2 linked regions of the Caenorhabditis elegans genome follow. The protein of the gene in region 2 interacts with the protein of the main gene of each other region in a pairwise test. Each region holds a gene or a part of one and is shown on either strand. Other genes may lie near its edges.

What was found.
Region 1: the proteins of F54D5.7 (region 2) and snr-5 interact in a two-hybrid assay, tested with the Caenorhabditis elegans proteins (one large-scale study listed by BioGRID).

What each region holds. Positions count from the first base shown.
Region 1 is NC_003281.10:7,860,161-7,863,361, reverse strand, and holds snr-5 (putative small nuclear ribonucleoprotein F), read right to left. Parts: upstream 1,293-3,201; 5' UTR 1,291-1,292; coding exon 1,194-1,290; intron 1,144-1,193; coding exon 1,041-1,143; intron 934-1,040; coding exon 876-933; 3' UTR 788-875; downstream 1-787. Other genes in the region: putative transporter slc-17.3, read left to right, coding at 1-85, 130-220, 269-422, 475-720; cuc-1 (Copper transport protein ATOX1), read left to right, coding at 2,423-2,431, 2,511-2,583, 2,630-2,757.
Region 2 is NC_003280.10:11,545,549-11,549,909, reverse strand, and holds F54D5.7 (putative glutaryl-CoA dehydrogenase, mitochondrial), read right to left. Parts: upstream 2,394-4,361; 5' UTR 2,386-2,393; coding exon 2,340-2,385; intron 2,289-2,339; exon of another isoform or gene 2,139-2,288; intron 2,014-2,138; coding exon 1,873-2,013; intron 1,818-1,872; coding exon 1,502-1,817; intron 1,452-1,501; coding exon 725-1,451; 3' UTR 598-724; downstream 1-597. Other genes in the region: dnj-13 (DnaJ homolog subfamily B member 13), read right to left, coding at 2,939-3,068, 3,126-3,853, 4,059-4,196.

The sequences.
Region 1 (3,201 bases), on a different chromosome or scaffold from region 2:
GTTGTTTGGGGTATTGGAATAGATAAATTAAAAGAAAATAAGATTCTCAGTAATACTAAAGCTGTAAAGGTATCACATGGTGTTGGTCAGTTGATTTTTGCAAGTTTCCAGAAATAGTATTTATTTCAGCAAGTTTTGGGAGTTCCTTCTCACTTATTTTACTTGCATTCTTTGTCGATTGCTCTAATCCAACAACTGGCCTTATTTTCTTCTGTTTAATGTGAGTTTCGATACTTTTCAGCGACTTTTCCAAATTTAAAGTCTTCAGGTATAGCTCAATGGGAACATTTGTGAGTGGATTTTACACATCACTACTCAGTTTGGCACCACAATATACTGCAACCATGTCTGCAATTTCAATGTTTGTTGCAATGATTGGTAGATTGACAACTCCTGCAGTCATGAGCATGTTCAGAAAAGACGTAAGCTATTTTAGAGATTTTTGACAAATCTACTTGCTATCCATATTCTTAGGGAACCGCTGCGGAGTGGCAGAATATCTTCATAGGATGCTCACTGGCACATATTTTCTCTGGTTCAATATTCTTGTTATTCGGATCAGGAGAATTACAAGATTGGGCTAAAGTTGAGGATGATCAGGAGATGAATGAGAAAGAGAAGCTGAAGACAATTGAGAATGGTATTGTAGTTGTTGAAGAAGTAGATGTCAAAAATGAAATGAGCGCCACGTTGGTGAAAGAGGATTCGCTGTGTCTTTGATAATTTACATAATTTGCTGATGATTTTTTTTTTCATTTAATAAATATTTTAAAAACTTCTTTAATAAGATAATTATAATTTATTGATTAAGAATGTGCGAAAAAGACAGAAAACTTGTGAACATAAGATCAATTGTTGAGAAGGGTTTGAAGAATTTAGGCACTCGTCTCGTTTTCTCCGTCCACGCCTCCCACGTAGAGAACGTTGTTGCATCTAAAGTTAGAACATTTTTCAAGATTTACTACGATATAAATGTGCATAAGATTGTAATAACTTTAGTTTCTACGGCTTGAATTTTTTCTTTTAAAAAATGCACCAACCGGATAAGAATCTCTCCGAGATTTCCTTGACTGTTTCCGTCAATGTACTCCTCGGCGTGAGCCAGCTGCAGATTCATGTAGGAGTCGACAGCAACAAGGACACCTTAAACATTTGGCGCTTTTGGTGAAATATTTCATTATGTCAATACAAACCTTTGTACTCCATTCCCCACTTCAGTTTGCAAACGACAAACTTTCCGGTGAGACTGTTGAGGAACGGTTTTGGGTTCACTGGTTGAACTGCGGACATTTCTGAAATATTTTTAAATAATATATTTTGAAACGAGGGATATCGAAAATAGTGAAGGACACAAGTAATTTAAGCAATAAAAATACATTCAAAGCGTTTCCGAATCACAATTGTTATGTTTGAACAATTTAAGAAGTTTAAAACCCATCTGACGGTTTTTTCAGTGAGATGGAAAGATGTATCTATTTTCTAATAGTGACAAAGTTGTTTTAATAAACATAAACTCAACAAAACACATTTAAAAAGGTTAAAACGCTGCGAAATCCTCCATAAAAATGAAAAAAGAACCTTGAATTTTCGAAAGTTGCGCTAGCATCAGATAATACGACATACTGCAGACTGCGTATGCGACACCATACTTGACGACATAAAATTAATCATACCCATGCATCATGCATGAAAAAGATGTGGGTTTTGGTTTTTTAGTTAATTTAAACTGAGTATTTGTATTTTCCGCTTTTTCAATGTCCTTGTACTTTTTGAGTTTTAATAAGTTATGCTATCTAAATATAGTTAACTTCTCTTCAGCCTCGAATATCCTGCTAAATGGCTTTCGGACTACTGTAGATGATAAAACAGTTCTTTATATAAGGCTCTATTTCTTCCAATTCACAACATTTAACAGGCTCCATCAAAATGTTATCGTCTTTATTTTTCTCTTTAACTGATCACCCTTAAAATCGATAATTTTCTCACCCCATAAAAACGCTCGTTTCAAAGTAGAAGATGAGTGAGACGCCGAGAAAATAGAGAAGATGCATTAATGCAAAGCTGTGACGTCATTTGGTGTCTTTATCCTGTTTCTAAGCTTCTTTCTCATTTTTCCATAAATTTTTCCAAAAAGTAAAAAAAAAAACTGGAAAACATTTAAAAGTTGCTTAAACCATTCGAGTTGTCCCATCTCAATAGTTCCTTTTTTAATTATCGCAGTTTCTTGAAAACTTGATCAAAAAATGTCGAATGATGCAAATTCTCAGAGATAAAGCATTGACCACGAGTCGCCCTATCACTGTCTCTCCATTTTGCGTCTCTTTGTTCATTTCTTTTCGACTGTACTAATTCCAATCATTCAAATTAACGTTTTTCAGGCAAGCAGAAGCAGAGTTTCCAGATTTCTGACTCAACAAATATCATGACACAGGTAAATTATTTAACTTTTTACAAATTACAATTAAATATTCTCATATTTGTGAAAAAAAAAATAATTTGAACATTTTCAGTACGTTTTCGAAATGGGCATGACATGCAATGGCTGTGCAAATGCTGCGCGAAAAGTTCTAGGAAAGCTTGGAGGTTTGGTTTACTTTTTGTTAATCAAATTAATCCTATTATTCTACAGAAGACAAAATCAAAATTGACGATATTAACGTGGAAACCAAGAAAATCACAGTTACAACTGATTTACCAGCATCTGATGTACTTGAAGCTCTGAAGAAAACAGGAAAAGAGATCAAGCAACTACAATAAATGACCCTTTTGATTGTCTCTTTAATTTCTATCCGAATGGTTGTGAATATCGTTATTTTTTGACATTTCTGTAATTTTTGTATTAATTTATGACTCTTGCTTGTAAAATTGTCCTATTCTAAAAATAAACGCATTTTCTAAACTATAGATTTTCTGATGCAATATTTCATTCGAGTTCTTTTAACCGAAATAGAAGGTTTCAAATGTAAACACCTTTTCATGCATTGAACCTTATCCTTATTAGATTAAAGCGTCGACGCGTACATCCGGTGTAACCGTCCTTCTCAGAAAGGTAAACGTCGCATTTTCATTTCACTATTCCGCGTCTCTTGATTTCTACTTAATGTGTTCTGAAATCCTACTAACGATGTGGTGAGACACGTCGTAACGAATCCGCTGAAATTTACATTGATGATTTGTTCGCGTTGCTCAACCACATTGTTC
Region 2 (4,361 bases):
ATTCTCCAATTATACAGAGTTCGAGACCAATTTCCATACAATTCACAGATAACTAATGTAATCTTATAAATTTCCAAATTCTGAAAATTCTTAAAACATCATTGTTTAAATATCCAATTATTTGTAATTCAGCTAGATTTCAACTCGGAGCGTTTCATTTTTTTTTGTTGATATTTTCGGATTCCCCTGTGAATATGGTTGTTTTGGAAATAAAAGTAAAAATTTGAACACAATTTTTAATTCTATAGCTCATATCTATTTAAAGAAAATTAAATATATTTAGAAAGAGTCGAGAGAGTGGGTACTGTAGTTGAAACATTTCATTCGTGTCGAGACCCACCTGAATTGTTTCAAATAAATGCATAAAAGACTTGCAGGTCATTGCTGAAATTTATTCAAAGTTATGTAAAAGTTTCTGATTTTCTGGAATTTTAATTCAATATTTATAATTTGGCATTTGGCTGAGTATCAACTCTGTGCACTCCTTTGTGATACGGAGCGTAATAAATTTGACAAAACACCACGTTTTCTAACTAAATTTTATGTTTTCAGACTCTCCTCGAAAGGCTGATCTAATTGAGCAACAAGAAAGAATTTCCAACGTGTGCTACATATTTATTGAAACTTCAATATTTTTGGGAATGAAATAAAACTTTTTGCGTTGAAAAGCAATAGACTATGACAAGACTAGACAATAAGTGAAAAAAGGAAAAAAAAGAAAAAATTAGCAGAATCCGTTGAGTCCCGTGATGGCTCTTCCAAGGATCAGAGCATGTACATCGTGTGTTCCTTCATAAGTGTTAACTGTCTCCAAATTCACCATATGTCTCATAATATGGTACTCATCCACAATTCCATTTCCACCAAGCATATCTCTCGCCTTTCGTGCCACCTCGAGAGCCTTTCCACACGAGTTTCTTTTGATAATCGAGATCTGCTCTGATTGAACTTTTCCCTCATCTTTCAGGCGGGACACACGAAGGCATCCTTGAAGACCCAAAGAGATTTCAGTTAACATATCAGCCATCTTCAACTGCATCAGCTGATTCTGTGCAAGTGGGCGTCCGAACTGTTGGCGATCCAAAGTGTACTGGCGTGCGAGATGGAAGCATTCTTCAGCTGCTCCGAGAGCACCCCACGCGATTCCGAGGCGTGCGTTATTCAGGCATCCGAATGGTCCTTGAAGCCCTTCAGCGTTCGGGAGAAGATTCTCCTCTGGTACTGGAACATCATCCATTGCAATCTGTCCAGTGATCGAGGCTCTCAATGAAAGTTTTCCTTCAATTTTTGGAGTCGTCAGTCCCTTCATTCCACGTTCCAGGATGAATCCCTTGATTTTATTGTTGTGGCGAGCACTTCTCGCCCAAACGACCATCACATCAGAGACAGGGCTGTTGGAGATCCAAGTCTTCGATCCATTCAATTTGTAGGTTTTTGTGGTCTCATCCCAGCTGAAAAACACAAGAGTTTTGAAAATGAATCAAATATTTTCTAGACTTACGTGGCCTTTGTCTCCATTCCTCCTGGATTAGATCCATGATTCGGCTCGGTCAATCCGAAGCATCCGATCTTCTTTCCACTCGCCAAATCGGGAATATATTTCTGCTTCTGATCCTCACTTCCGTAGTTGTAGATCGGTCCGATCACCAGACTCGTTTGCACACTCATCGTAGATCTGTATCCCGAATCGACTCGTTCCACCTCACGAGCGATGAGTCCATAGCCAACAGTTGATGTTCCAGCGCAGCCGTATCCTTGATATGGGGCGCCCAACAGGCCCATACTTCCCATTTCCGGAATCAGGGATGGGTCGAATTCTGGAAATCAAGACTATGGTAAAATTAAATAAGAATTCGGTATGGAGTGTCTCACTTTCAGTTCTGTAAGCTTCTGTGACACGTGGCAAAAGTCGCTCCTGACAGTATTCCCGAGCCGAGAGCATCAAAGATCTTTCGTCTTCAGTGAGCTGATCCGAAAGCTGGAAAGCATCTTGGTAGAACGTCGACGAGAGACCTGAAATATTTGGAGGGTGAGCTCAAGTTTGAGAATAATTTTTTGGGTGTAGTCGAATTTAGACGATATGTAAAAACGATACATCACAAAAATTTCGTTAACGTGAGTTATGGCTTCGAAATAGCGAATAATTCTAAATTTTTTGAACTTCGCGCGCGAACGAGCGCCCTCTGCGTGTACTCCTCTCGGACAATCATATAATTAATATGTTGATTATTGTTTTCGGCTAATTTTAGGTGATTGTTGCGGTTTTTATTGTATTTTTACAGCAGTCTTAATTAAATTCGACTACACCAGCCTTAAATATTAACTGAAACATTAATTACCTCTACTTGCAATCTTGCCAATTGACGTGAATCCTCTGGTCAGCATTTTTGCCGCTGCAAACTGGTAAAGAATGATGATGGTGTGCCCTCATCTCCTTTCTTTCAACGCCCGATATCATCTTTTACCCCCACGTGGCCAAGGACAAGACAATCGATACGATGAGGAGACAGATCAACTGAACACACGAAAATCACAAAACTTTCTTTTGCTTTAATTTAAAAGTTTATTTATCGGAAATGTTGATAAGGAAGCACGAATTAAAATTGAAAGAGGGGGCGGTTGAGGGGGGATACAATTACACCGAGTATCTTGTCAATGAAGGTTTTCATGTCATTAGAATGAGACTTGATAAACGATAAAAAATGCATCTGAATAACTATGGGCAATATGTGTGAGATGGGTAATTAACAATGAAACATGGGTGATAAAAAGAACAACATCCTAATAAAAAATCTCTTAAATACCCGCTTGAAAACATCGAACAAGGCGACTGAATACTGCTAAATCGAATCCAATGGCAATCAAGAGTGATTGTTTACCCGTCTTGGTTCGACTGTAGTTGATTGATAAGCAAGAGAGGGAAAATTGAAAAATGCGATTAGAAGTTCCTCAGAATCACTTCCCGTTGAGTTGGATTGAGTTGTGATGGGAATTCCACGTCAAACTCAATGATTAAATCTCCTCTGTGAGATGGAGACTTTGGATTTGGAAGTCCTTTTCCAGTCAGCCTGAAAGAATTAAAATTAATAATTTACTTCTCGTGAATCTCAAAATTTTTAACCTACCGTCTTGTAGTTCCCGGCTTAATGACATCGTTCAATTGAAGACGGTAGTCTGCTCCATCCAACGTTGGAATCATAATATCAAGGCCAGTCAATGCAGACTTCAGGGAGATCTTTTCGACGCGTTTGATGTCAGATCCCTCTCGCTTGAATTTCGGGTGTGGCTTATCCTTGATGACGAAGACTATGTCGGCGGGAGTTCTGTTCGGGTGCTGATCACCTTCTTTTGGGAATGTGATCTTTGTGCCTGACTTCCATCCTGGTTTAATAGTGACCGTCAAAACTTTGTCTTCTAGGCGTTGAGCATTGTCCGTCATAACTTTTCTTGTAATCTTCATCTTCTTCGTTGTACCTTTCAGTACATCCTCCAAACTGACAGAAAGATCATGGAGCACAGCAGGATCTTGACGAGCATGTCCACGTCTTCCACCTTGATGCATGCCGCCGAACATACCGTCATCCATACCACCTTGATTCATGAAGAACATATTCGGGCCTCCGGCTCCACCACCAAGATCAAACATTCCAGGTCCACCAGCACCGAACGGATCGGATCCTCCAAAGAATGATGAGAAAATGTTCATTGGGTCTCCACGGAATTCGTAGTGCATTCCACCGCCGCCACCACCTCCGGCTCCTGGTCCACCTTCCTTTAGTCCTTCCTCTCCGAATTGATCGTAAATCTTCTTTTTCTTATCATCGGAAAGAACATCGTAAGCTTCGGCAATTTCCTGTAATTAAAAAAAATATTATTTCAGGTTAACATCAATAAATTCCCAGAAAAACTGCAATTTTACTGGGATTTTCTATATTTTGATTAAAATCGTTTTTAAATCGAGTGCTTAAAAATAACAACTTGGTCATGAAAAGTACAGTATCCTTCACCGAGGACCAAAAACTTTTTTTTAAATTAGAAAACTAAATTTTAAAAAATACCTTGAATTTGTTCTCAGCTCCAGCTTCCTTATTCTTATCCGGATGGTATTTCAAAGCCATTTTACGATAAGCCTTTTTGATTTCATCGTCTGTTGCACCTTTGCTGATGCCCAGCACTTTGTAGTAGTCTTTTCCCATTGTGGAAAGTAATCTGAAAAGAAATCATATGAATTTTTGAAATATTAACCAGTAACAGGTTAACGGAATAAATGAAGCAACAGATAGATAAAAAGAATACACCCGGCAGAATAAATATGGGTCAACATCAGAAGAGGAAACACGGAGAAATGGAAGAGAGAGTGC